2 linked regions of the Cricetulus griseus genome follow. The protein of the gene in region 1 binds, or shares a complex with, the protein of each later gene. Links are inferred from orthologs where the notes say so. Each region holds a gene or a part of one and is shown on either strand. Other genes may lie near its edges.

Evidence for each region.
Region 2: the proteins of Cdk4 (region 1) and Ccnd3 are in contact, whole or in part, in a crystal structure (PDB 7SJ3), measured with the Homo sapiens proteins. The link is inferred for Cricetulus griseus from reciprocal best matches to the Homo sapiens genes CDK4 and CCND3. Residues at the interface, in NP_000066.1 of Homo sapiens: Gly46, Gly47, Gly48, Leu49, Ile51, Thr53, Val54, Arg55, Val57, Ala58, Leu59, Arg61, Arg62, Glu64, Ala65, Phe66, Val77, Ala79, Val89, Asp129, His132, Ala133, Asn134, Cys135, Arg163, Ile164, Tyr165, Ser166, Tyr167, Gln168; in NP_001751.1 of Homo sapiens: His11, Pro13, Arg14, Ala15, Gly16, Pro17, Asp18, Arg20, Leu21, Arg26, Val27, Ser30, Leu31, Arg33, Leu34, Arg37, Tyr38, Glu74, Lys112, Leu113, Arg114, Glu115, Thr116, Pro118, Ile121, Glu122, Pro134, Arg138, Glu141, Val142.

The regions. Positions count from the first base shown.
Region 1 is NW_023276806.1:130,632,820-130,647,382, reverse strand, and holds Cdk4 (cyclin-dependent kinase 4), read left to right. Parts: upstream 1-3,375; 5' UTR 3,376-3,533; intron 3,534-3,988; 5' UTR 3,989-4,008; coding exon 4,009-4,226; intron 4,227-4,370; coding exon 4,371-4,506; intron 4,507-4,612; coding exon 4,613-4,780; intron 4,781-4,932; coding exon 4,933-5,042; intron 5,043-5,568; coding exon 5,569-5,619; intron 5,620-5,933; coding exon 5,934-6,069; intron 6,070-6,548; coding exon 6,549-6,641; 3' UTR 6,642-6,912; downstream 6,913-14,563. Other genes in the region: Tspan31 (tetraspanin-31), read right to left, coding at 7,704-7,778, 7,866-7,979, 8,212-8,343, 8,653-8,733, 9,400-9,567, 10,154-10,216.
Region 2 is NW_023276806.1:256,935,658-256,950,237, reverse strand, and holds Ccnd3 (G1/S-specific cyclin-D3), read right to left. Parts: upstream 8,008-14,580; 5' UTR 7,820-8,007; coding exon 7,622-7,819; intron 6,748-7,621; coding exon 6,532-6,747; intron 4,125-6,531; coding exon 3,965-4,124; intron 3,322-3,964; coding exon 3,185-3,321; intron 2,798-3,184; coding exon 2,630-2,797; 3' UTR 1,700-2,629; downstream 1-1,699. UniProt on the Homo sapiens protein: Regulatory component of the cyclin D3-CDK4 (DC) complex that phosphorylates and inhibits members of the retinoblastoma (RB) protein family including RB1 and regulates the cell-cycle during G(1)/S transition.

The sequences.
Region 1 (14,563 bases):
TGAAGGAGGGGGCGGGGAGTCTGTGAGTTAAGCAGACAAAGAAGATAGTTTTTCCTGTCAGGACAGCAAACTGCAGTGTGCTCCTATGAGAGGCACAGAAGCAGGTAATACCTGTACTGGGAAGACCAAACCAACCAAACAAACAAACAAACAAAAAAACAAAAATAAATAAATAAAGCCGGTCACTGATGGCCTCTAATCCCAGCCGTCAGGAGGCAGAGGCAGGAGATCTGGGTGAGTTCAAGGCCAGCCTGCTCCACAAAGGAAGTTCCAGTGCAGCCAGGGCTACACAGTGAGACCCTCCCTGTCTCAGGGGAAAAAAGCAAAACAAAACAAAAAACAAAACAGTGTTGCAAGTTTAATAAGCTCACAGACACTTAGCCTTTCAGAAAGCTAAAAACCCCAAACAGCCCTAGGAATGTAGCCAATAGAACACCCACTTCTCCAGCCCCTTAGCCAATTTAGGCCCTGATCTTTTTCTTACAGTCTCCTTGACAGCAAGAAGCAGCAGAGCAGCAGAAGAGGAAATCTGGCTAGGCAGTGGTGGTGCATGACTTTAATTCCAGCACTCAGGAGGCAGAGGCAGGTGGATCTCTGTGAGTTCGAGACCAGACTGGTCTATAAGAGCTAGTTCCAGGACAGTCTCCAAAGCCACAGAGAAAACCTGTCTTGAAAAAAAAAAAAAAAAAAAAAAGAGGAAATCAGCCCGATATGCCTTCCATTTTGTCCTTGATTATGATTTATGTTAATCTTGAGTTTATAGAGTTGACATTCGTGTGTGTGTGTGTGTGTGTGTGTGTGTGTGTGTGTGTGTGTGTGTACATATACATCCACTCCCCACACCCCTCTCAGACAAAGTTTGATTGTCCCAGCTAACATGGAACTTACTAAATAGATCAGGCTGGCCCTCCACCTGCCTCTGCCTCCCAATCCCCTCCTGGGATTAAAAACGTGTGCCACCATGCCCCACCACTGTTACATTCTCAACCAGAAAAGAAAGAAATTAGAATGGAGGACAAGGTGAACCAGGTCATAAAATGTTTTCAGGCTGGGTGTGGTGGCTCAGGTCTGGAATCCAAGCACTTTGATTCAAAGCAAAGTCTTTGAAGTCTTCAAACTAAGCCAGCCTGAGCTACATGGCAAGACACAGAGGAGGAGGACGAGGAGGAATAAGGAAAGAAATTGATTGTGATGCATGCCACTATCTTTAGTACTGGGGAGATGGAGCAGTAAGATCAAGCATTCAAACATTTGAAGCTACCCTAGCTACATGTCTATTTTTTTAAACTTTTTATTTTATGTGCATTGGTGTAAGGATGCCAGATCCCCTGGAACTGGAGTTACAGACAGGTATGAGCTGCCATGTGGGTGCTGGGAACAGAACCCGGGTCCTCTAGAAGAACAGCCAGTGCTCTTAACCACTGAGCCATCTCTCCAGCCACTTACATGTCTATTTCAAAGCCAACCTGAGCTATATGAGACCTTATCTCATCAAAACAAAATTACACACACAGAGCCAGAGCCAGAGTAGTTGTTCATGTCTGTAGAAACAGCATTTAGAAAGCTAAGGCCCTTCAACTATACTGTCTCAAATATGATTTCAGAGTTTAGTGTTTGGGAACATAGCACAGGAATTGAACGAAGAAAACACTGACTCCAATCCCTGGCTTCAAAAACCAATTTTATTTTTTTAAAAGACTTATCATGTACATAGTGTTTTGCCTGTGAGTATGTCTGCAGGCCAGAAGAGGGCACCAGATTTCATTACAGATACTTGTGAGCCACCATGTGGTTGCTGGGAATTGAACTCAGGATCTTTGGAAGCCAAGGCAGTATTAACCACTGAGCCCCACCAATCTTACTTTATTTTGAGACAGGATTTCTCTGGGTAGCCTTGGTTATCCTGGAACTAGCTCTGTAGACAAAGCAGGCCTCAAAGTCACAGAGATCATGATGCCTGCTTCTGCCTATCCCGTGCTGGGATTAAAGGTGTGAGCCATTGCCACCTGGCTAAAAAACAATTTTAAAACAGCTCTAGATTTTAGAGTTTCTCACAGATGGGTACATGGTCTTTTATTCCCCAAATGGTGGGAGACAACAAAGGAGTTGGAGCCCACAACACAACGAATGCCAAATCTACCTGTCTACCTAGATTTCTGTGGGCACAGACCACTTGGGAAATGCCCATAAGGGCAAGAGTAGCTCTAAGAAAGCTGCATTAGAAATAAAAAGGAATGTGACACCAATGATGAGTTGCATGTTTGCAGAGGGACACAAGACGTTCTCGGGCAACATGGTGGTCTGAAGTGGTGTTGGTGACCGCCCTTGTACACGCTCACCGTTTTGTCTGTTCATATGCACAATTACATACATATGTAACACAATACAGAATCTTAGTGTTAAGAGCCTTTTAAGATCAGGCACCCTGTTGGGCCGTAGTGGTGCACGCCTTTAATCTCAGAATCCCAGCACTTGGGAGACAGAGGCAGGCAGATCTGTGTAAGTTCGAGGTCAGCCTGGTCTACAGAGAGAAACCCTGTCTCGAAAAAAAACAAAACAACAGAGTTTCCAATAACTCCTTGCTGCTTTTAATATTCCCAGGGAGGTTTGCAAGTTGGAAGAGGGGAGGGCATTACGTTGCCACTCTTCCCATACAGTGACTGAGTATATTAATCCTGCTGTCCATCTTTTAGCCCTAGTTTCCTTCTTGGATAGGAATCGTACTCCCTGTTTCATAAGGGGCCACACTTGCCTACATTAGATACCCTCATCATTACTTCAGAGGGCGAATGGCTGAGACACCAAAACAAAAACATCACATACCAACTGGAAAGGAGCCCTTAGTAAAATTTTTGTTGAATGAATGAGTAAAACGAAGGCACAGTATACGAATGCTCCTTCCCCATGGCGCTGGAGTGAAAAATGTGACAGTCCCATCTCTGGTACCAGGATCTCCCACTAGCACCCGGACCTCCCCGCCCACGTCCAGACAAGGAGTGAGACGGAGAGATGCGCACAGGCTCGGCCTTGAGCCCAGAGTTGAGAGCCGGCTGGCCCGGTTGCCATGGCACCGCCTGGTGCTCCACCCTCCCTCGCCCCCACACACCCCCTCGGCAGTCAGGGACTGGCGGCGGGTCACGTGGTAGGCGGCGTAGCCACGCCTCTGCTTCCCAGCGCAGAGCTGAGGGGTCACGTGGGATAGCAACAGGTCACGTGCCCGAGCGAGTTTCGCCCCCCCCATCCCAGGTCATCCACTGCGCATGCATGGATGGATGGATGGATGGATGGAGACCACGTGTCCGCCGCGAACGTCCGGCGTTCGCCCCCCCCCCCCGGTTTCCGCGCGCCTCCCTGGCTGCTGGTCACATGGGGAGGGTGGGGGTGAGGGGGGCCTCTCTAGCTCGCGGCCCGTGTCTATGGTCTGGCCCGTAGCGTCCAGCTGCCCGGGACCGATCCCCGGTGTATGGCGCCGCAGGAACCGGCTCCCGGGCCCAGATAAAGGGCCACCTCCGCAGCTCTTGGCCGGGCGAGAGGTGAGTGCAGCCGCTTGCAGGGATGGGGCCCGGCGCCCCGCCACCACCCTATGGATCCCCTCGTTGTGGAAGGATGGCCCAAGGGCGGGAAGCGGGGCCTTTGTGGTCGCGGCCAGCGTGTGATTTTAGGGAATAAAGTGTGCAACCTTCGATGCCAACGCCGTGCATTGTGATGGTCTTCTTTGTGCCCGGTGCGATGTCCCGTTCTCCCCCCTCCTCCTCCCCGGGAGGAATGCATTCTTTTTCGCCCCTCCGGGACATCACGTGGCTGGAGGGCTCGGTGGGAGAGTCTTTTGTGTTACCTGAGGCGCGGCACTCTGGCAGCGTGGAGGGAGGGGATGGGCGGCTGTGTCGGTGCGGTCGTGGGCAGGAATTCCTTTGTTACTGCTGGGTCATCCCCCCTCCTAGCTGTGAAGGAAAGGAGGGCTTGGTTTTAGAAGCCTCTGTGATTGTAGGAGATCTCCCTGCTCCGAGAATGGCTACCTCCCGCTATGAACCGGTGGCTGAAATCGGTGTTGGTGCCTATGGGACGGTATACAAGGCCCGAGATCCCCACAGTGGCCACTTTGTGGCCCTCAAGAGTGTGCGAGTTCCCAACGGAGGGGGAGCTGGAGGGGGCCTTCCCATCAGCACTGTACGCGAGGTGGCCTTACTGAGGCGGTTGGAGGCCTTCGAGCACCCCAATGTTGTACGGTGAGGAGGTTGGATTGGGAGTGGGGAGGAAAGAATGGGATCTGTAAGCCAGGGGTGTGGTCGTCGGGAGTGGGACCCTAGGACTCCAGAGGCCACGTTGGAACAAAGGACATTGACCGGCTGGCGACTGTTTATTTTTGTCAGGCTAATGGATGTCTGTGCTACCTCCCGAACTGATCGAGACATCAAGGTCACTCTCGTGTTTGAGCATATAGATCAGGATCTGAGGACATACCTGGATAAAGCACCCCCACCAGGCTTGCCAGTTGAGACCATCAAGGTGAGCGGGCTGCTCGGTGAGAGGTGGATCCGGGTCTTTGTAGTAGGGACTCTTGGGGTTTTTGAGCGTGTTACATGGTGTCCGGGGCTTTCTCCTTCAAAACCAGGACCTGATGCGACAGTTTCTAAGCGGCCTGGATTTTCTTCATGCAAATTGCATTGTTCACCGAGACCTGAAACCGGAGAACATTCTGGTGACTAGTAATGGGACAGTCAAGCTGGCTGACTTTGGCCTGGCCAGAATCTACAGCTACCAGATGGCCCTCACACCTGTGGTGAGTGGAAAGATGGCAGCCCCAATGGGATTCGGCTTTAGGTAGTACTTGATTTCCCGTAGCAGCTGAGGTGTGTTGTGCTTGACGTTCTCAAAGCCCAGCAGCTATGAGCCATGAAAAGGACTCTCACTCGTTTCTCCTCTTCTGTTTAGGTTGTTACACTCTGGTACCGTGCTCCTGAAGTTCTTCTGCAGTCTACATACGCAACACCCGTGGACATGTGGAGCGTTGGCTGTATCTTTGCAGAGATGTTTCGTCGAAAGTACGGGGCTTGAAACTTTTGTTTTTTAAGACAGGGTAGCCCTGGCTGTCCTGTGACTCCCTCGGAGATCCGCCTGCCGCCACCACCTGGCTCAGGGTGTGGAACTCTTAGGTCCCTTCAGTTACACAAATCTTTTGATGTTACTTATGGTGTTAGAGGTTGAAATCAGAACTGCACATACACTGGGCAAATGCTCTATACCACTAAACTACACTCCCCGCCCCTGGGTCTTTTTACAAGACATACCCGTTCTTGACCATTTTTGTGCATATGGCACTGGACGCCCCAACCTAGGCTCTTGTATTTATCAGGCGCGTGCCCTGCCACCCAGCTATAGTCCCAACCTATCCTGTTTATGTTCACCAACTTGCCTAAAACCAGAAACGATGCAGGCAAATTTCCTGAAATGTCTAGGAATTAGGAACTTTGTGTTCCCTTATTCTCCGTCCTCTCTAATCTCAGCCACTTTGATTATCATTCCCTTATTTCTGAAATAATATATACTTGGAATATTTTTCTACCTTAGGCCTCTCTTCTGTGGAAACTCTGAAGCTGACCAGTTGGGCAAAATCTTTGAGTAAGTGTCCAATAAAGGGGAAAGAAATCCCCCCCCCCCTTTTTGTTTGTTTTTTTCGAGGCAGGGTTTCTCTGTGGCTTTGGAGGCTGTCCTGGAACTAGCTCTTGTAGACCAGGCTGGTCTACAAGATCTCAAACTCACAGAGATCCGCCTGCCTCTGCCTCCCAAGTGCTGGGATTAAAGGCATGAGTCACCACCGCCCGGCTAAAATTCCCCATTCTTAATTCAGTTTCTGCTCAATTCCAAATGGCAGTTGGCCCTGGAGATGGAAACTGGAAAAAGCCCCCCTGACCAGATTTGTGTTATCCCTACAGTCTCATTGGATTGCCCCCAGAAGATGACTGGCCTCGAGAGGTATCTCTTCCCCGAGGAGCCTTTTCCCCCAGAGGGCCGCGGCCTGTGCAGTCGGTGGTACCGGAGATGGAGGAATCTGGAGCACAGCTGCTGCTGGTAGTGGGCATGGGCCAGGGAGGTGGCTCTGTGATAAAGCTTTTAGGGCATAAGTGTAAGGACCTGAGTTTGAATCCCCAGAACTCGAGTAAAAGCTATGTGTCAGTGAGCTTCTATAGTGTCTCTTAATACCAAATGGGTGGTGGAGATAGAATTCCCTGGAAGCTCACAGGTCAGATAGTCTGGTTAATACAGCACTAACAAGAAACTCTCAAACAAGGCGGAAGGGAAGTACCGGCATTCCAGACTGTCCTAACCTGATTTCTATGTGAGCATTGCCTTGAACATGCAATGAACATAGAAGAAACAACACAGGGCCCAAGGCCATTGTGGAACCAAGTTCTAGTTAGTGGACAGGCTGTAGTTTTTCCTGTTGCTATGAGTGGCCAGCAGGGTAGGATGCAGGAAACACCTGCACAGCGTTTTGGGGTGGGCATCATCCCCCTCGGCTGGTTTCTGACCTTTGCCTCCCCTCATAGGAGATGCTGACTTTTAACCCACATAAGCGGATTTCTGCCTTCCGAGCCCTGCAGCACTCTTACCTACACAAGGAAGAGAGTGACCCAGAGTGAGAAGATTAGCTGCCTCTCCTCTCCTTGGGACACTTGAGCGACAGCGAGAACCTCAACTTGTGCCTTCCTCTGGGGCTGTGGAGACACCTCCAGTTTTTTACAGAGAATATTTTAACCCTTAAATGACATTCCCCCCTCCCTATGAGGCTTGTCCTCTTGCCCTCCCATCTCTCTCTCTCTCTACACTAAAGGGTGGGTGTCTCTGTCTTCTTCCCTCCCTGATTTATACTGGGATCTTTTTTATACAGCAAAAAAAAAAAAAAAAAAAAAAGACAAAGAAATATGGTCTTTTTTTCACCCCTTTAATGTTTTTCTGATTGGGTTTGCCTTTGGGAGATTTGAGAGCCCACTTGCAAGAGGTTTCTCTGCAACACCTGTAGGCTGTCACACAGGACTTAGGCAGTCCGGCTGTTTGGCTGACAAGATTGAAAAGGACCTTTCTATCCTTTCTCGTTTTTTTTGTTTGTTTTTGTTTTCAGTTAAAATGGCTTTAGTTTTACGTCTCTGCTTCACTCTGGGTCCTGCCTGGGTAAGACTGCTATGATAGAAACACTTGCCTATCATGTGTGAGGCCCTGGGCTGTAGCCCTGGCGCGCTCCCCACAAAAGTTGTTTCCCCTGGTATTTTCTGATTTGTCCTTGGAGCCAGGCTAGGGTGTCTAAGTGAGGGAAAACAGTTAGGAAAAGCTCCCAGCTCCCATCCATGCTTCTAGGAGTAATACTATATTCTCCCAGAAAGAGGTATTAAGTTTTTCTTTCCCTATATCTTGTTTCCATCAAAATTTGTAAAAACAAAAGTTTAACCACTTAATTAGGTTTAGTGGGTTAGGTTCTTTAAAACAAACAACATGTGTCGGGGGAGAACCACACCTAGGTTTTCAGGAGTTTAGGAGGGGAGAGCAAAAGCAAGGATCCAGAGACTTGCTGAGTGTGGTGACACACCTGTAACCCCACCACTGGGTCGCTGTGGCAGGGGGATCCAGAACTCAAGGTCATCCTTGGCTACATAGCAAGTTGGAGACCAGCCTAGGCTTCAAAGATCCTATCTGAAAGATAAGAAGTCTCATAGAAAGGCACTGGGGTTGGCTCGGGGGTCTTTTTGGTTCCGGAATCTCATTGCCAGCCAAACACCAAGGATCTGCAGGAGAGGGAGAGAGCAAAAGTTATTTTGGATCTTGGGGTTTAAGGCTTAGGGGTGTCTGTGTGAGGAAGGGGGAATCATTACCTCTGTGAAGCTAAAGAAGAGGCCAACACCACCTAGGATTTTCAGGGCTTCATCCGAATGTTTGAGGAACTTCTCCCCACACATCTGGCATGCAGAACTTCTGGTCTTGCACATCTGCCGACAAAAATATAATAAACAGAATGCAAAGCTGCTAGCCTTCCCCATCCAAATTGCCACAATGAATGTCCCCAGAAATAGCTGGTATTTGAACAGTTCCCAGACTGGAGTCCCACTTGGCTGAATCCTTACAGCCCAGTTCATGGCTCACGGCTCACACTGAGGTCACTTATTTGGGTATGGCCCTTACCCATTTCCTCTTAGATGCACTACCCATCCTTCAACTTACTGCACCACAGGAAGTATCATCTTGTAAGTACGGCATTGTAAGGTTGAACAAACCACAGCAGTCAAAACTTCTCTCCAATTCATGCCGGGTACTGTTGCTCATGACCCACCAGGACGCGTTGATGACATCCATCTAGAGCACACATACAGGCAGAGGAACATTAATGTCCCTACCCTCCACTCTCGGTTCACATGCTTCAATCGCCCTATTCTGGCAAATGCAATCAGCCTCCCACAGAAACAGGATGGCACATCATGGTCACAGACAGTGCCTAGTGTCTTTCTCAGGTTCTCTCTGACTACATCTTGGGGAGTTAACCATACATGTCAGAGGAAGCACACACCTCTGAAGTAGTGGACCCAAGGATGAAGGTGTGCAAGGATCACGTTAACAGATCTTCAAAGGTGGAGATAGCAAGCACGAAAAGCATCACCGCCTTACCTGCTTGTTTCTGTTGATAGCCAGACAAGAGCAAGAGATTGCAAACTGGAAGATGAAGACCAAGCCAAGGATGATCATGTACTGAGAAGTAGTTATGGCAAAAAAGAGATCTAGTTTCCATTTAAAATATCAGTGTGAAGGCCAGCCTGGTGTGAGGTCCAGGCTAGCCAGGGTTATGTAGCACAATCCCATTTTTTTGTGTGTTTTTAAAACCTCACCCAGTGTAATTTGTAACCGCAATGTGGCAGGCAAGGGGACAGAGTTCAAGGCCCTTCTCTGTTCCTAAAACTAGTCTTATCAAGTTGAGAAAAAAAAAAAAAAATCAACTTCTAAGCCAGGCATTGGTGTCTCATGTGTGCAGCCTGGTTTTGTGGAAACAGCTAGAGACAGCTGTGTCACCAGTGGTGTTTAGAGAAGAATCCTATCTTGTTTGTTGGGGCTGGAACACTAGCCTTCGAGTCATGGGGAATTAAAAAATAGCCACACTGCCGGCCTGTTGGTGCACGCCTTTAATCCCAGCACTCGGGAGGCAGAGGCAGGCGGATCTCTGTGAGTTCGAGGCCAGCCTGGTCTACAGAGTGAATTCCAGGACAGGCTCCAAAGCAATACAGAGAAACCCTGTCTCGAAAAAAACAAACAAAAAATCAACTTCTGTGAATTACACAGTAAGAACAGACGTGTCTGAGGTTCCCAAACCCTTTTAGGAAAAGCCTGCCCAGGGACCCCAATCACTCCAGGTCAGGATACAAAGAAGAGCAGCACTTGGTGGTGGTTAACAGCCCCCACGAGCCCAGCCACTGCAATGAGGAGAAGGAAGACTCCCACAGCAATGACTCCTCCAATGATGTGAATACTGGACACCAGACCCAGGCCCTTGCCCCAGGCAGCCACGCCAATGAGCAATAAGCCCACAAGCTGCAAGAAACAGAAAGTAGAATACATTTCAGCCTGATGTGGTGGCTCACACCTGTAATCCCTGCAAACCGCAGTACAGCAAAGTTCAGGCTAGCCTGTGCTAGCCACATAATGAGACCCTGTCATCGCCAAAGAACTCTACCATGCAGCACTGCCAAAGGCTATTACAAGGGGACGTGAACTAAGTACGGCAGGCAGCGGAGGTGTGCTTTCAGAGCTACTCATTCCTGGACGCGCTTCGCAAGTAACTGGGAATATCTGGGATAGTGGGGCAACGGCAGTAGCGTCTCAGGATACACTCCTTAGGGTTGTCCGGCGTCTCTATTTTGGGAAGAAACCGGAGCACAGGTGGAGACTGGGACTGTAGGCCCACAGTCCTCGATTCACCCCTCCCCACCACCACACAAGCCCCCTCATTACCGGAAGTCTCTCCTCTTCCACGGAAGTACCCAGGAATTCCCTCTTCGCCGGAAGTTTCTGGAAAGCTTCCCAGAACCCCCAGTAAACCCCTCTCCCCACCGGAAGTCCCCTAGAAATTCTCCCTATTCTGTCCGCCCCAGAGCTTTCCCCACTCCCAAAACCTCACCATATAAACCACGTTGAGAGCGCACAGCGCATTCTTGGAACAGGCAAATCCGCCGCAAACCATCTCCCCAGTTCTGGGGACCCAAATGGCCCCAAGGACTTGAGGGGAGGGTATCGGGGACTGCCTTGTAGGACTCCAACAGCTTCTATCGCTTTAAATCCAAGCCAGCCAAACCAATTCTCTGCGCCTGCACCGTCCCACCCCTGCCTCTGGATTGGCGAAACTCGTGGCTAATCCAGGACATCCAGAATTTCAGTGCCAATCAATCTACATTACGTCACCAGCCCGCCTCCTAGTCCTTCCCTCGGTTTTTTCATTGGACGAAACTTAAAAAAAAAAGAAGAAGAAGAAGACAGGGTTTCTAGACAGTTTCTTAGGGACCAGAGCCTAAACTTCAAAGCCTGTGCTCCCTGCGGCGACTCTAGGAGTCCGAGGAGAGACTTGGGGGACTCAGGTGAACAGAAAAGGAGGGGCTTGTAGAGGGGGGAGGAAGGGGCTCCGCCCTTCCAAGAATAACCCTTCCCGCTGGCTCCCCCATGTTTCAGGACGATGCCATCGTTTTGTTGGTCGTGCGTCATACTCTGGAACACTAAGAGGAACCAAATATTGAACTATGTAGCCCAGCTAGGGAGGATCCAAGTCAGACATAGCAACTGCCGGCAAATCCCCACGCATTTGTTTTTTTCTTTTTCTTTTTTTTTTTTTTTTCGAGACAGCTTTACTCTGTAGCTTTGGAACCTGTCCTGGAACTCGCTCTGTAGACCAGGCTGGCCTCGAACTCACAGAGATCCACCTGCTTCGGCCTCCCGAGTGCTGGGATTAAAAGCGTCCACCACCACTGCCTAGCATTTGTTAAATGTGTCTACTAGTACGCATGTTCTGTTCTGCATTCCTTCCTCTGCAGTGTGAACATGCCAGAAATTCGAGTGGAAACAGTGACTTGAGGCCGGTTCATTCCTGTTTGTCACAAAACCACAGGCGCAGACACTGGTGTACATCTTTACAATACATACGTACCTGATGCTGGGCTGGCTCAAAATAATACAAGGTGTGAGGGCAGGACTGGACTATGAATAAATGAAGACTATCCATGCTTTCTTTTTTAAATTTATTTATTTTTACTTTACGTGCATTGGCATTTTGCCTGCATGTCTGTGCAAGGGAGTTGGATCCCTTGGGAACTGGAGTTGCCGACAGTTGTGAGCTGTCACGTGGGTGCTGGAATTGAACCCCGGTCCTGTGGAAGAACAGACAGCACTCTTAACCCCTGAGCCATCTCTCCAGCCCCGACTCTTCATATTCTCACTCCAAGGGGGGGAATAATGGGTGGCTAGCCAACAATGCTATTACATAAGCATCTGGACATAGTGCCCTTTGAATAGGAGTGAGAAATGGTGCAACCCTTCCCTTCCTCCTGGACAAAGAAGTGACCTTGGTGGGAACAAATGAAAAAAAAAAAAAAAAACACCTCCCCATCAACTCCACACGGTGATTGGAGTCTATGTATGCTCACATCATGTGACCTGCCTACAGTCTAGTCTTGTGCTGGAGTCAAAGTAAACCAGTTTTTTACTTTATGACTTAGTATCTGTATGGGCCAGGCACTTATTAAGGCCTCTGCACCTACTTCTTCATCCATAAAATGGGGATAGATAATAATGCATCCACCTCTAATGATACTTCCCTAACAACTTCTGTTCTGTTGTGAGCACCAAATGAGCGAGGATCTATAAAATGTCTGAGTTAATACCCAGTACCTAGCAACACTCAGTTAACAACTGTTTAGTCCAGGGGGCTGGAGAGATGGCTCAGAGGTTAAGAACACTGACTGCTCTCCCAGAGGTCCTCCTGAGTTCAATTCCCAGCAACCACATGGTGGCTCACAACCACCTATAATAAGATCTGGTGTCCTCTTCTGGCCTGCAGGTATACATGCAGGCCAAACATTGTATACATAATAAATAAAATCTTAAACAAAAGAAACAACTGTTTAGCCCATTTTTATGGAGTCCAATAAATAATCCAAACTCAACCCCTTGATCTCTGAATATAAAGACATTCACACACTTACTTTTCCTAAACCATCCTCAAGAAAATATGCATGATAGTCTAGAGAGTTGGCTCCAAGGTTAAGAGCACTGAGTTCAGTTCCCAGAACCCACATGGTGGCTCACAACCATCCATAGCTCCAGTTCCAGGGGACCCAATACTTTCTTCTTACCTATGGAGGCACCAGGCACGCACAAGTCACACATACATATGTTCAGGCAAAACACTCATACACAGAAAATAAATAAATTTTTGAATGAAATAAATACTGGCTGGGGGGCTGGAGAGATGGCTCAGTGGTTAAGAGCACTGACTGTTCTTCCAGAGGTCCTGAGTTCAATTACCAGCAACCACATGGTGGCTCACAATCACCTTGAATGAGATCTGGTGCCCTCTGTTGGCACGCAGGCAGAAGACATAATAAATAAATAAAATCTTAAATAAATAAATAAATAAATAAATACTGGCTGGTCCATAATGGTGCACACCTTTATGTCCCAGTACTCAGGAGGCTTTACATAGTCAGGCGTTGGTGGTGTACACCTTTAATCCCAGCACTCGGGAGGCAGAGGCAGGCGGATCTCTGTGATTTTGAAGTCAGCCTGGTCTACAGAGCGAGTTCCAGGACAGGCTCCAAAGCCACAGAGAAACCCTGTCTCGGAAAAAAAAAATTAAAAGAAGCTATACAAAAGAAAATAATTTGCTATCTCCATATAGGTTCAATCTGTCTTTGAAACAAAATAATTAGGTCAAAGCTAGGGAGATAGGCTGGGGATGAAGAAACCTAGGAGACAGGCTCAGAATAAAGTACTCGCTGTACAAGTGTGAAGGCCAGAATTTGTATCCCAGGGTGTCCACAAAGGCCAGGCAGGCATGGCTGCTGCCAGTAACTCTGGCACTCTGGAGGCGGAGACAAGGGGTCTTCAGAGCAAACTGGCTAGGTTAGCCTGTCAGAAAGTTCTAGACTTGCTGGGAGACCCTGCCTCAATGAATATAGTGGAGAGCAATCAAGGAAGACACACAACCTCAACCTTGGATCAACCCACACAAAGGCACATATGTCGATGCACACCCAAACGCACACGCTGTGATGAGTAGTTTTACCTGTGTTGACAGGGTTTAGAATCATCTGAGAAGAGAGGCTCAGGGAAAGATTTTTGTCTACATGGGGTTGGATTGTGGGTATGTCTCTTTGGGGGGGGGTCTCTTAATTCAGTTAATTGATAAGAAAAGAACCAGTCCACTGTGGGCGGCCCCATTCCCTAGGAAATCATGAATTGTATAATTCATGATTAGGAGGTAGGCTGGGCATTGGTGGCACATGCCTTTAATCCCAGCACTCAGGAGACAGAGGCAAGAGGATCTCTGTGAGTTCGAGGCCAGCCTGGTCTCCAGAGCGAGCGCCAGGATAGGCTCCAAAGCCACACAGAGAAACCCCCTGTCTCGAAAAACCAAAAAAAAAAAAAAAAGAGTGGAGGAAGCAGGATGGTGGTGGCACATGCCTTTAATCCCAGCACTCGGGAGGCAGAGGCAGTCGGATCTCTGTTGAGTTCGAGACTAGCCTGATCTACAAGAGCTAGTTCCAGAATAGCCTCCAAGGCCACAGAGAAACCCTGTCTTGAAAAACCAAAAAAAAAAAAAAAAAAAAAAAGGGAGGTAGACAGCTGAACACAAACAAACAAGTGAATATATGACATTCCTACAGCAATGGGCTACAGTGCAGAACTATAAACAGAAATAAACACATGCTGACTAAGTTGGGTTTTTTTTTTTTTTGCCACGGAATTGTATCACAGTAAAAGAAATGAAGCCAGAACACACAGGAATACATACACCTGTGCATACCACGCACACATATACATGCCAAAAAAATAATTGAGGTAACTACCATTACTTACGACACCCCCCACCAACTTGCTTTACCTCCATTTTCTCTTTCAATTCCTCGTTCTTCTTCTATATCGAGTCATGAGTCAAGAGCAGAACAATGGTGCTGAGGAACTGGCTGGAAAGTATATCAGTTTCGTGTCTGTTAAATTAAAAGTACAATTGGATCTTTGTTCACCTGTTATGGGCCTTTCTGAGCAATGGTTTGCACTTCTACATAATAGTGATAAATTATCCTACCCTTTGGGCTTGTCCTTAATATACATGAAAGTCTGTTGTAAATGATTAAATGTTATACACATGCTAATTATTATAATAGAAACTGTACTTGGAGCACATAGTTTTATCTGGCTATAGGTTACTTTCCTCCCCTATAGTCCATTCTTCACATAACTACTTGAGTCTTTTAAAAAGGAGATAGTTATAGTGAATAAACGACTAAGAGAAGCCTATAGGAATGCGTAGAGAGGGGTG
Region 2 (14,580 bases), about 130 Mb from region 1:
ACGTGAGCTCCAGAGTGCAGTCCCCAGAGATGTAGAAGATGTTCCTGTCACCATGGAATGACAGCGCTCACCTGTCTTGGTCCAGGGAGGATAGGAGGACACCAGGAGCCCAGTTGGTGACCAACGATCTAGTTAAAGACCTAGGTTAAGGCACTGTAGGCTTACGACGGCATCTGTGTGTGGCTCCAGTCCTGGGCAGGAGGATTGATCTGGTTGGCTTTCTCTGCCATTCTAGGCTTTGGTCCCTGTTCACTTCTGGAAGCTAACTGGAGTTACCTGATGTCAGCACTCCCTCAACCCAGCCGGTACTTGGTATGAGGGCTGCTCTCTCCAGTTACTGTGTCAGTTCACTGGGGTGTGGATAAAACAGAGTCAGTTATTTATTGAAGCTCTGTGTTTTGGTCCAGTCAGTCCCTGGAGGTTCCTGCCTCCCCTGTGGCTAGAGGTGAGAGTCGTTCATGGTTCTTTCACCTACCCTGTTCCTCACAACTGTCTGTCTAGACTCCCCTTCCTCTCCACAAAGAGGAAGTGTGTGGGTGTGTGTGCGGTGCACACACACTCCCTACCAATGACATGTTCATGGGCTATTTTGCTGGAACACCAGCTTCTACTGATGTTCTGCTGGAAAGATCGTAGTCGCCATATTGCTCTCAGTGGAGACTGCTGCAGGAGCATCCCTCTTTCTGGGAGACCAGCAAACTCAGTAGTCCAGTAGGTTTCTTCCTTGCATTCTGAACAAGAGTTTTAGACTGGTTAACAAACCAAGGTCAAGTGCCTATTTGTATAGCTGATGAACAATCTTTTTCTAATGGCTTAAAATGTGTATGAAATTTTAGTTGCAGCCAGGCATGGATCTCTAAGTTTGAGACCAACCAGGACTAAGTATACAGACTATACAGGTCTAACTAACCCTATCTCGGGGTAGGGGGGCACATCCATGTCCCAGCCATGTGCATCACAGCTGACAACTCCCAAGTCATTCTGCTACATCACTTTTGCTTTTGAAAAAGTACGCCTGTTACAATCCAGTTCATGTATCTGCAAACAGTTTCAATCTGTTGAGGCATTCGCATTTGCTTACACTTTTAGTTCATCTTGGAAACAGGAGGTAAATGACAGAGAAAAGTACACCTCGCTCAGCCAAGCCAAATGGCCACGTCTCTACCAGTTTGCCTCTCTGCAGTACTGCAGATGGGAACCAGAGAAAGTATTTCCAGACACATTCCTACCCCATCCATCTCTTGTTTTTTAATGTACATGAGCATTGTGCCTGCATGGCATCAGATCCTGAGACTAGAGTTACTGATGGTTGTGGTCAAATCATAGCTCTCAGGAGTAGCCCATACTCTCAGCTACTGGGCCACTAGTGCGGTCCCCGTGTGGGTTTTGAAGCAAGATTTTGCCATGTAGCACAGGGTAGACTAAAACAACTTCCTCTGCCCTGTGAGTGCCACCAAAGATTACAGGAATAGGCCACCATGCCAGAGTACAGCAAAATTCTTGTTTTACATAAAACTGTCCAGACCTGTTTTCCCATGAGCCCTCTGGGGCATGGTGATCACTCCTTAAACCATAACTTGTAGAAGTGCATCGGTAAAGTGGGCCACATTGCCTTTAAGAAGAAATGTTCCCTACCTGAGACAGCTGACTTGTGCCTCCCTGCTTCTACACACAGCCCCAGGTACTTCAAGAGCCAAAGCAAGTTTTATTCCGGAATCTTTATTAAGGCAGCATGATAGAAATGGGCCACCAGCCCAAACCTTGTGGCCTAAGGAAAGACCTGTGTCAATAGGGCTTGGACCTCTCCAGATAGGCTCTGTCCTCCACAGCATCCATCCTTACTCAAACCCTCTGCTGGAAGACGAGGTACAGGGCCTCAGGAGAGGAAGGCACGGCCCCATCCCAGGCTGTAGCAGCTCCTGGACCACAAAGCGGTAGCAGAGGGGAGGGAAACAGCAACCACCAGGGTTACCACCGCTTGTGGGGTACAGGCCTCACTGTACCCTCTTACAGTTGTATTCAAAGCAATAAATTAAAATGACCATCAGCACCCCTCAAAGAGCCCTCAATCACAGAAGCTAAGCAGGAAGCAAAGCAAGAATTGGTAGGTTCTTGCCCCTCTGACCAAGGCCTAGGCTGTTCCCTCCAAGAGCAGCTGGGAGCATGGATTACACAGCAGCCATCTATTTGGTACCTCATGCACGGTTATCAGGATGCTTGAAGGACCCGAATCCAAATGCACTGACCCTAGGAGGGGCAACACCTTTGGAAGGAACTGGGGCGTTTTGGCAATTGAGAAAATTAGAGCCCCAGAGAGGAGGGACTCACAAGGAATGCTGGTGCATGGACTTTACCTGTTTGGATTTCTCTGACCAGCATGGCCCAGAACAGCTGAGCTGGTCAGGTGGGAAGGAGGAGGAGCTGACTGGCCATGCAGAGCCCTCATGGCCAACCAGCACCTTAGTGCACAACTGTGGGGATAGGCAGGACCTGGCCCCTTGGGCTTTGTGAGGGGAAGGAGGACCCCCCATCGGGCTTCCGATATAGCATGGATTGTTCCTAGAGGAAGGGAAGGGGTGGCAGTGGCCCCTCCTCTGCTTGGTGGCCACCTGAGGGGGCCTGTCCCAAGCTACAGGTGGATGGCTGTGACATCTGTGGGAGTGCTGGTCTGACTGGGCCCCTGGCTGCTAGAGCCCCGGGGGGCTTTGGGCACTGGGCTGGGGGCAGTCTGGGCAGCTTCCCTGAGGCTCTCCCGGAGGGCAGCTTCGATCTGCTCCTGACAGGCTCGCAGGCAGTCCTAGGAAGAACAACAAGGTCAGTAACAACAGGCAGGTGCAAGGGAAAGGCCACCCCCCTGCACATCGGGAAGTCTGGGGAGGTTAGGCCACAACCCAGCCCAGGAATTGGGTCTCAGTTCTCAGAAACTGGCAAGAGGATGTGGCAAGGGTGTGAGAGCAGCCCTGCATCTGACACCAAGTCTCCCACCCCTTGGTGCAGCATACCACTGGCAAGAGAGGGGCAGCTACATGTGTGTCCTTCATCCCACCTGATCCTCTCCAGAGGCAGGAGATAAAAGGCCACAGAAGCAGGCAAAATTGTACAACTGGAGTTGGGGGTGGATGCTGCCCTCTTCTGGGGATTTGAGGGATAACACTGCTTTTTGTGAATGGGGCCTGAGACTTACCACTTCCGTGCCTGTGATTCCTGCCAGCAACTCTGTAAGCTCATCTGCAGACATAGAGCTGGCTCCTAGGCCTTGAACTGCAGCCCCAATGCTGCCTGTAGCGATCATGGATGGAGGGTACATTGCAAAGGTGTAATCTTGTAAAAGAAAGGGAGCCATGAGAAGAGTCATCTTATACCTCTGTTTCCTGTTACAGCATGCCAGGTTGCATGGATGCAGCATACTGGGAACCCCCAGTGGTGGGTGGGGTGACTCAGGGACAATGGGAGTGTTTGGTGTGTGTGTCCATGGTGCTGGCATCTGACTGAGGCATGCACAAAATCACTGAACCACTATACCCCACCCAACCTTCTGAGATCTGAGAACAGCAAAATTTCCTTCCACCCAGGCTGGACCTGGTCAGGAACTAGAGAATACCCAAACCCCTAGGGTGGGGGCCTCAGGCTAGTCAGTGCCTCATACCTCCATCCCAGGATCACCAAGATCCTATATGAGGGGCTCAGAGGTTAAGAGCACTGACTGCTCTTCCAGAGGTCCTGAGTTCAATTCCCAGCAACCACATGGTGGCTCAAAACCATCCGTTATGAGACCTGGTGCCCTCTTCTGGTGTGCAGATATACATGGAAGCAGAATGTTGTATACATAATAAATAAAATCTTAAAAAAAAAAAAAAGATCCTATATGAATAGTTCTGAGTATGGAAACAATCTCCTGATTACTATTTAGCCTTCAAATCATGGTTTTTCCCAAACTGGAAAACCCCGTGTCCAAGGTTCTTACCTGTAGCACAGAGGGCCAAAAAGGTCTGGGCATGCTTTTTGACCAAGGACTGTCGGTCACTGGGCAGAGAAAGGCGGTGCAGAATCAGAGCCAGGAAATCGTGTGCAATCACAGCAGCCAGGTCCCACTTGAGCTTCCCCAGGACCAGCACCTCCCATTCCTGGAGAAAGGGGATGAGCATGGAGTCAGTGGCTGGCAAAACAGGTCAGGATATGGCAGAAGATTTACAGTTCTACTTCTGGCTGCAGGAGTTAGCACCTTGGAATGATGAATTCAGGGCATTTTCTTGAGCATCTATTCATCATTACTGGGTACTAGAATGGCATGACATCCCTCTTAGTCTTCCCATGAATGTGAGGCCAGCATCAGTTGAAGCAGAAAGACTAAACTGCAAGGACTTCAGAAGGGGAGCCACAGTCATTAGCCTGTCCCTCCCTGGCCCTGCATCTCAGCCTGGTCTCTTAAAGAGACAGAATGAACATGAGGCACTCCTGAGGTTCCTCAAAGGGGAGATTACCCAACCCCACCCACACCCCTTTTGTGGGACACCAGGGGTGGGTCCTGTCTCAAGACACGGAGGCCAAGCCAAACAGGATGAATCCAGATAGCCCCTGAGGCATCTGCCCAAGCCTACATAACCAATAAGAGGTCATAGTAGTAGTCTAGGAGCCCCAACCCCAGCTCATTTGTCTGGGTTTCCAAGTCCTGGCCTGAGTTGCATTTCCGAGTTGCACACATGAGGATTTCTTCATTGTTTTATCTCAGGAAGGAACTCATGGGTTTGACTCCTCAATGAGGTACAAATGTCAGCCCCACCCAACCTCTTCCAGGACCCCAGCAACAGCTGTCCCTCTCTCTGTCCCACGACCTAGGTGTCAGCCCCAGGGTACTTAGAAGAGCCTACAGAAAAAGCCTGGGCCAGAGCCAGAAGTAAGGCACAGAGGCTTGCCCTGGTAACCAACAGCATCCAGCCTCCAAGGAAGCAAGAGGCAACCAGACTGTGTGGGGTCCTCACTGAGGGAAGGTGGCCACCCTCCCCGATATCCAGACAACATGAGAATCCCAGCCCCACCTCCCGAACACCATGGTTGGCTGCATACTGCTCATCCCTGGCTTTAAGGCGTTCTGGTCAGTGCCATACAGTTGGAATTTCCCCTCCTTTCTCGGGCCCTGCGATGCAAGGGTTTAGACTGCTGGAGTTCTTAGAGGTCCCTTACAGCTCTGACCGCAGGCCACTCAGCGCAGGCCTCTAGGAGAAGGCTTGCCTATTCTGAAAACCTCCCCTCACACACACACTAATGTAGACCACCCTAATCTCTGCACAAAGAGGAAGTCTCCTACCTCCCTGCCTCAATCCCTCGAAAACATCTTGCTCCCTGGCTGTGGAAACTACCAGATTCATCACAAAGAGCTGTGGGGCCTCCCTGATTCCCAACTCAGGCCTCCCATCAGCTGCTTGACAGGGAGAGGAATCCAGTTCCCCGACTCAAGGCAGTCAGGGGCCCCAGTACCCTAGCTTCCCAGCCAGCCAATCACATTAGCCTGCCTGCTGCCCTCCTCCCTAGGAGATGGGGCCCAGAGACTCCTTTCAGGGTCAGGGAAGGCTTGGCTAGCCACAGAATAAGGTGGAGGGAGGTGCCAGCTCACCCACCCTCTCCCCCAGACCCTGTGGGAGATGATGTTCAAGCTCTATTCCAGATTCAAGCAGTTCCTCCACCTCCTCCCTAGACTCCTCGGGGCAGGGCAAAACCCAACCGATTTTTGCCCCGCCTGGAGGAGCCCAGCCCATGTTCCCAGCAAGAGACCCCAAGGAGCCACTTCCCAAACCACAGGAGTGACAGCAGCTCCCCACAGGGTTATGAAAGCCCTTGGTCTGAGTGGGAGGGCAAGGGGACCAGCATCATTATCACATCGAAGCAGCTGCAGCTCGGCTCCCTGTCTCTTCGGCCTTTGGCTAAGAGGCAAAGGGAGAAACCCTTCCACCGGCCCAGGGCAGCTGCTCTCGTTTTTTCAGAAGACAAGGAAGGGTGGGTAGGGAAGGGGCTCTGTCTTTGGGAATAGAAGGGAAAGGGATGAAAACACCTCAGCACTTCCTTCCAGCAATCAGGGCCTGGCTTTAATCAGCTCTGGGAGGCTTTTCCATCACAAAGTCCACACGGGGATAAAGACTCATGCAAGGCAGCCCCCTCCCCCACGTGAAGCACATTCCACTCCGGTGGGGGTGTGCAGACATGCCCTGCTGCTGCCAATAAATAACTCATGGTGGCTGTGTAAACCCAGAGGCAAAGTACTGGTGTATAGACCAGCAACTGGACTGGTTGCTATCTGGGGTAACCCCACTATGGTCAGAGGAAGGGGGTTCATTTGGTTTTAAGCCTGCAACTAAAGCACAACTACCACACTACATGGCCTTTGTCCCACCCCAGTTCTTTTCCAAAATACTGGCCTAGGGCGAGGGGAGGGTTGGTGAGTGAGGGACTGAGCTTGGAGTTCTCTTTTCTAGTACATAGGGCGACAGTATTTGAGAGCGGGGGGGGGGGCGCCACAGAGGGGGATTCCACACGCACCCGCAACTGCCAAGGAGCCACAGCTTGGTCCGTATAGATGCAAAGCTTCTCAATAGTCAGGGGCGTGGTTTCGCGCAGCTTAGAGGCCAGCAACAGGCAAACAGTACCGAGGAGCTGCAATTGCGCCTTTCGGGTGGGGACGCAAGACAGGTAGCGATCCAGGTAGTTCATGGCCAGAGGGAAGACATCCTCCTCGCAGCGCTGCTCCTCACACACCTGAGGGATGGCGCACGAGTCATTGCTAGGGAAGGACCAAGTGAAACGCAGCAGCATGGGGGGTGGAGGGAGAGTGGAATGTGGAGCAAAAAATAAACAGAGACGGGATAAACTTACAGTGACAAGAATCAATAACCGAGGAGGATGCGCCCTCCCCAAGGTGACCCCCCCACTTCCTTTGCCTGGCCTCCTCCCCACCCCTGAGTGGTGGGGGTGTAAAGGAGAGAAGCCCTTGCTCACGAGGGATTCCAGACTCCCCTCCCCCACGGCGAGCGGAAGGGGGACGGAAGGGTCGCCTAGAGAGAATTGGGACCTTACCCTCATTACCACCACCCACTGCACACACACTCCCAAGGGGAAGGGAGGGAACTCCTGCCGCGGTCTCCCGCACTTTTCATTTCCCTGTGGACCGGAACCGAGCGCGCGCCACCCCCACCAGCTTCCCCCGCCAGAACCCCGCGACAGACACAGGAACCAGTTCTAGGGCTAAGGCGGTCGGTCGAGCCCCAGACTTTTCCAAGCACGCTCTCGGAGAACTACAGGCGAGGAAGGAAGCAGGAGACACCGAGAGAAGCCAGAGGGGAAATAGTGGCCCTTAGCCCGCTTTCCCGACCTGAAGTGAAGTTTAGTTACAGTGCCAAGTGACTGGCAGTCTCAGAAGAAGCCGATCGGGATTGGGGAAAGGAAGGGGACAGAACGCAGGCAGCTGGCTAGGGTGGATGCCTGTGTGAAAAGGCCAGGCCCCTCAAGTCGGGGCCGCCAAAGCATCTTGAAGACTGTGGTCCGATTCATGATGCCCCGACAGGGCAACTTGGATTTGCCCAGAGCCGGAGGTGGGGGTAGGGTGAGGAGAGGGGACCGGTCCGGGCCTTACCTCCAGCATCCAGTACGCCAGCATCTTCCGCATGTGCGGCTTGATCTCCTTTTGCACGCACTGGAAGTAGGAGGCTCGCGGCACGTAGCGCTCCTCCAGGCGGAGCAAGCTCTGCAGGACACGCTGGTCCCCCAGCAGCCTCGGGTCGGGCCCGGCCCGGGGCGCGTGCCGGGTGCCCTCGCAACACAGCAGCTCCATCCTGAGGCGGCTCACGGGCGAGAGCAGGAGTGCGGGCTGGCGAGTCCTTGGAGACGCGACGCGCACGAGGGAGAGCGCGGGGTGCGGGCGGGTCTGGCGCTGGCGCTGGCACTGTACGGAGAAGCCCCAGCCCGCCCGCCACCCGCGCGCACCGCTTCCCTGACAGGCGCCCCGCCCCTCGCGACGATGTAGCAACCGTGGAATGCTCCGACGTCACAACGTTCCAAGGGGGCGGGGCCGCAGACGGAAAGGGCTGGCGGGCGTAATCCCCTCCTTCCCCGCAGCCCATTGGTCCGCGGGGCGCCGGCTTCTGCAGGCTTCCGGGCCCTCGGGGCCCTCCTGACCAAGACGGTGGAGAGAACTTTCTGGGAGGGTGCCCTCTTCCCCATCAATGGGCCGTCTTGACTCTAGCCACCCAGGAAAGAATTACTCGCCCAAAGTTATCCATTCATTCACGTTTGCACCCTACTTCACTGCTCCAGGGAATGTTAATAGCTGCATATCTGGGTCGCTCCTACCTCAAGGTGCATTCCAGGTCTTTATTTTGCAGACCACCAAACTGAAGCACAGTGGTAGTTGAAGAGACCTCACTGTCAGTCCAGGGAAACCCGGCTCCAGAATTTTGTCTACTTAAATGAATTCCACAGACTTGCTGCAGCACCATCTGGCAGCTGAGCAGGAAGGTAAAGAAAGGGTCATGTCACCAAGGCTGACAACCTGAGTGTGATCCCTGTGACCCACACGGTGGAAGAAAAGAATCAACTCCCATAAGGTGTCCTCTGACTTCCACACTAACGCTGTAACATACCACCACACCACACACCACCCGGTATGCACGCGCACGCACACACACAAATTATAAAAATGAAAAAGCAAATGAACAAATGCAGTTTCTCAGGGTCCGCTGAACGGGACACTGCACTGTTTCCAGATTCGTGGAACAACTTAAGTATAGGTGGTGTTTGTCGAAATCAGCATATTAAAAGCCCCACGGTGATGGTGCACGCCTTTAATCCCAGCACTAAAGAGACAGAGGCAGGCAGATCTCTGAGTTCCAGGCCAGCCTGGTCTACAGAATGAGTTCCCCAACCCATGGGGCAGGGGAGGGGGGGGGGGCAAGAGAGAGACAGACAGACAGAGAGGGAGAGAAAAGAGAGAGAGAGAGAGAGAGAGAGAGAGAGAGAGAGAGAGAGAGAGAGAGAGAGAAGCTGAGGATATATATCCAGTTGGTAGAGTGCCTGTTTAGCATGCTCAAAGCTCAGGGTTCAATAACCAGCACTGTAGAACCTGGAATGTTGTCCTACACCTGTAAGACCAGCACTTGGGAGGTGGAAACAGGAGGATCAAAAATTCAAGGTCACAAATCAGTGATGGAAAACAACTTTAATCCCAGCACTCAGGAGACAGAAGCAGGCAGATCTCTGAGTTTGAGGCCAGCCTGGTCTATGAGTTCCAAGAGAGCCAGAGCTACACAGAGAAACCCTGTCTGGAAAAACTAAAAATAAATAAATAAATAAATAAATAAAGTCCCAGGTTATTTTTGGCTACCTAATGAGTTCAGTGCCAGCCAGGGCTATATAAGATCCTATCTCAGTAACAAAAACAACCAAACCAAATAATAATAATATAGTGGCTGCTTATGGAAATAATACTAGAACTTCAAAGGTTGAGAAAACTACAGTAAATTTCCAGACCAGCCTGGACTAGAACAAAACTAAAAACAAAAAAACATCATATTGCAGAGTTGGACATGATGGCACATGCCTGAGATCAAACACTCGGGAGGAGGGAGGAGGCCTGTGGACAATTCCAGGCCAGCCAGAGCCTGGAAGATGAAGAAGATGAAGGAGATGGAGGAGATGGAGGAGGAAGAGGAGGAGGAGGAGGAGAAGGAAGAAAGAAAGAAAGAAGAAAGGCTGGGGTGTAGTATGGTGGCACACACCTTTAATGCCAGCACTTTGGAGACAGAGAGAGGCAGGTAGATTTCTGTGAGTTCAAAGCCATCCCGGTCTAAGTAAAGAGTTCTAGGCCAGCCAGAGCTACACAGTGAGACTATCTCAAAAACAAAAATAGAAGAAAAGAAGGAAGGAAAGGAGAAAGAGAAAAGGAGGGAAAGAAAGAAGACAGGGACTGACCCCTGAGGGACTGCTGTCACCTCAGCCCAAGTGAGCTTCAGCACAGAGAAGACAATGGATATGCATGAGGTCATCTGCCTGCTGGGCACCAAGCAAGGGTTCAGTATCCACCACTGCATCCTCTCCTGGACAAATGAGGCATAATGGGATTAGCTCACAGAAGGTCACCTCTCCAGGGGTTTCTTTGTTGAGTGGTTTCCTTGTCTGACCATACAGCCCCACATCCACCTTGAACTTTCCCACTCCTCGTCTGTTTTCCAAGTGTGTACCACCATGCTTTATTGCAAACTGTACACTTTAAAAACTGGGAAGCGGGGGGCTGGAGGATGATGGCTCAGCAGTTAAGGGCACTGGCTGCTCTTCCAGAGGACCTGGGTTCAATTTCCAGCACCCACATGGCAGCTCACAACTGTCTGTAACTCCAAGATCTGACAGCCTCACACAGACATGCATACAGCAAAACACCAATGCACATAAAATAAATAAATTATTTATTTTAATAATTTATTTATTAATAAATAAGCGGGCACTTTCTGAAACAAGGTCTTAGTTACCCAGGCTGGCTTTGAATTTACTCTATAATCGAGGCTGGATTTGATCTGCCATTACCTTCCAATTGCATGCACCTGTTAGTTTTTTGTTTTGTTTTGTTTTGTTTTGTTTTGTTTTGACAGGCCCTGCTATGTAGCACTGGCCTATGAAGAGCCTCCATCTTGCAACAATCCTGCTGCCTGCTCCATTCAAATCCTGGGATTACAGGCATGCACCACCAAACTTCCTGTCCTTAAGGACAAAGACAAAGTCCTGTATGGCTGCATGTTAGAGGGATACACCACCTCCCTGTAACACCAACAACAGAAACAGGTCTTCATGTAATTGTACTATATTCCAGAACCAAACATACCTGAGATGTAATAAATCATCTCGTCTACACAACAACCTTACGGGAAGTATATTATTTTACCCATTCCCTTTGGGGGGGGGGGTTCTCTCTGTAGCCTTGGCTGTCCTGGAACTCACTCTGTTGACAAGGCTGGCCCTGAACTACGAGATCCACCTGCCTCTGCCTTCTGAATGAGGGGATTAAAGGGGTTCACCACCACCTCCTGGCTATTTTGCCCCTTTTAATGGGGGCTGGGGTGCTAATACTCAGATTGAGTGACTAAGTAACCATTGAGAGGTCACACAGCTATCGAGTGATGGAGGCAGGCTGCAGTCCAGTCTAGCTCCTGAGCTCAAGCCCTTGCAGCAGGGGAGGGGGTCAGGAGGGAGAACAGGAGAGAGAGATGCTGGGGTTCAAAGCCGGGCAGTTGGTGCATGCTAGGCAGGTATGCTCTACCACTGAGCTACATCTCTAACCCCCGGGTTCCATTTACTTTAAAGTATTAGAGTTTGAAAACAAAAACAAGGAAGGTAGCTGCCAGGAAGAGGGAGATAGATTGAAGAAGAGAGAAAGTCATGCTTTTTTAGTCAGGACCAGCAACAGAGGAGATCTGTAAGCATCTGTAGAAATGGAATGGGAGAAATCAGAGAAAAAAAAAAAAAAGTGGGGGTTGGGGGGAATCCCAGAGCACCAGGACAAACATGCTTAGGAATTTGGAGAAGAGAATAAGGGGAAAGAAAAAGTTAAACACGCTTGAGTTAGGAAATGGGGGAGGCTTAGCAGTGGAGGTTGTCCCACCCCAGCTCTTGACCACCTCATCCACTTGTCTCTTGTGCTGTCCCATGAGTGTATATTGACTTATCCCTTGTTGGTCTCTTAACAGAGAAAGGAAGGGCGCCCAGAGACAGCTGAGTTCTAGAAGTGGCTTTGTCTTCAAGAGCCCCTCTGTCTGGGGTCTTCAGGGCTAAGGAGCTAGCCAGCTACATGAAGGACGGCTGCTGAAGGAGCACATTGCTCCTCCGAGAACTCCTGAGAGGTGCACCGGTGTGCTTCACCATCACTGCTCTTCGAAGGTAGAGCTAAGAAGACCAAGCAACAAAGCAAGGACTGGGGATGTACTCAGTGGGTAGAGTGTTTGATTTATATGATTGAAGCCCTAAATTCAATTCCCAACACTAGGTAAAAGGAAGAAATGATGGAGCAAACCCAGGTGCAGTGGCGCACTCGGTAATCTCGGCACTCAGGTGTACTGCACACGCTGGTAATCTCAGCACTCAGGTATACTGCACACACTGGTAATCTCAGCACTCAGGTATACTGGTTCACACTGGTAATCTCAGCACTCAGGAGGCAGAAGCAGGAAGATCCAAAGTACAAACCTACCCTGGGCTATGGGAGACGGAGACGCTTGTCTCAAAGAAAGAACAGATAAGAAGGCAGATGACCAGGGGAAGTAAATGGAAGCGCTTCAGGCCAGGTGCATCCAATTACAAAAAGTTACTCAATGAAATGGCAAATTAGTGGAGAGCTGGAATGAAAAGTCACAGGCCAGAGGCAAAGCCCCAAGGAAGAGGGACACCAAGCCTCCTTCCTCCTCCCACTCCCTCACCTCTTTATCATAGGAATGTCTCCATTTGAGACCCAGAAGGGGCAACCAGGTGACAGGCGAGGCCAATCATCTCACAGTTACTTCAGATCACTGAACTGACAAGGAGAGAACCAGGTATAGGCTAAGATGAAGGGACACCACCCCAAACAGGAAGGTGGACAAAGGCTGCACTCAGTTCAAACTCTGGGTGCACACCCATGACTCTGAGGAAAGACTGTCCTCTTCTGTCTGCTTCTCTTTTCCTCCAGTTGGGTAATAACAAAGGTCCTTACCCTAGAGGGGTTTTCTGAAGACCAAAGGGCTAAAAGTATCTTGCACACATCTGGGGCAAAGAGAACATGCAAAGACAGTAGTTTCTAAACTCACCATGGTGGTCCACATCTATAATCCTAGCACTCCTGAGTCTGAGGCAGAAGGATTGCTGTAGGTTCAAGGCCAGTCTGGGCTACCCTGTTCTCCTAATTCTTCAAAAAAAAAGTTGTTTCTGGCCGGGCGTTGGTGTCGCACGCTTTTAATCCAGCACTTGGGAGGCAGAGGCAGGCGGGTCTCTGTGAGTTTGAGGCCAGCCTGGTCTACCGAGTGAGTTCCAGGACAGCCAGAGATACACAGAGAAACCCTGTCTCAAAACAAACAAACAAGAAAAAGTTCTTGTGGACCAGAGTTTGGTTCTCAGAACCAAGCTTCACGGGGGTCCAATGTTTCTGGCTTCCACGGGCACATGAACACTCACATATGCATGAACACTTACTCACAAATAAAAAGCTAATTTTGTTTTAAGATCAAGATCATCTTCAGCTATTTAGTGAGTTTGAAGGCAGACTGGACTACATGAAACCCTATCTCGCACTCGGGAGGCAAAGGCAGGGGAATCTCTGTGGGTTCGAGGCCAGCCTGGTCTCCAGAGCGAGTGCCAGGATAGGCTCCAAAGCTACACAGAGAAACCCTGTCTCAAAAAAACAAAAAAACAAAAAAAAGGAAAGAAAGAATCCCTATCTCGAAGAGATAGAGGGAGGGAGGGAGGGAGGGAGGGAGGGAGGGAGGGAGGGAGGGAGGGAGGGAGGGAGGGAAGGGAAGGGAAAAGGAAAAAAAAAAACAGAAGAAAGCACGGAGACCTTGGGAGGGTGACAGGGTGGGGATTGGGGGAGTGACTATGCACAAAGTTCAATGACAGATACTTTAGAGATTTTCATAGCAAAAAGACTCTAGAATTACAAAAGGGCAACACTCCAGAAGCTTTTGGTAACATTGATTTTTTTTTTTTTTTTTTTTTTTTTTTTTTTTTTTTTTTTTTTTTTTTTTTTTGGTTTTGGTTTTTCAAAGACAGGGTTTCTCTGTGTAGCTTTGGAGCCTATCCTGGCACTCGCTCTGGAGACCAGGCTGACCTCGAACTCACAGAGATCTGCCTGCCTATGCCACCCAAGTGCTGGGACTAAAGGCATGCGCCACCAACGCCTGCTCCAAGAGTTTCTTCATCAATAGGGAAACCTTCCTGGAAGTTGGGTGATAATCAAGTGGGAGAAAACATTCTTGTGTGGTTTTGTCTTGTTGTTTTAATATTATGTTACATGTCATATTCTGAATGTGTGTCCTAAGAACAATATGGGCATAGTTTGTTTACTCATTTTTGAGACAGGGTTTCACTATGTATTCCTGACTGGCCTGGAGCTCACTCTGTAGACTAGGCTGGCCTTGAACTTGATTCACTCTCCTGTGTTTCCAGAGTGCTGAGATTAAAGCCATCCATGCCTGGCCAGAAAGTAATTTTTGTTGCTGTTGTTTTTGTTTCGTTTTGCTTTGTTTTAATTTTTATTTTTTTCGAGACAGGGTTTCTCTGTATTGTTTTGGAGCATGGCCTGGGACTCGCTCTGTAGATCAGGCTGGCCTCGAACTTACAGAGATAGGACTCCTGATGCCTCTTAGGCGTTTGCCGCTGCCACCACACTGCAAGAATGTAATTTTTTTAAAAAGTAAAAATATCAATGTTAGCCGGGCGTTGGTGGCACACGCCTTTAATCCCAGCACTCAGGAGGCAGAGGCGGGCAGATCTCTTTGAGTTCCAGGACAGCCTGATCTATATAGTGAGTTCAGGACAGGCAGAGCTATTTATAGTAAGACGCTGTCTTGAGATAAACAA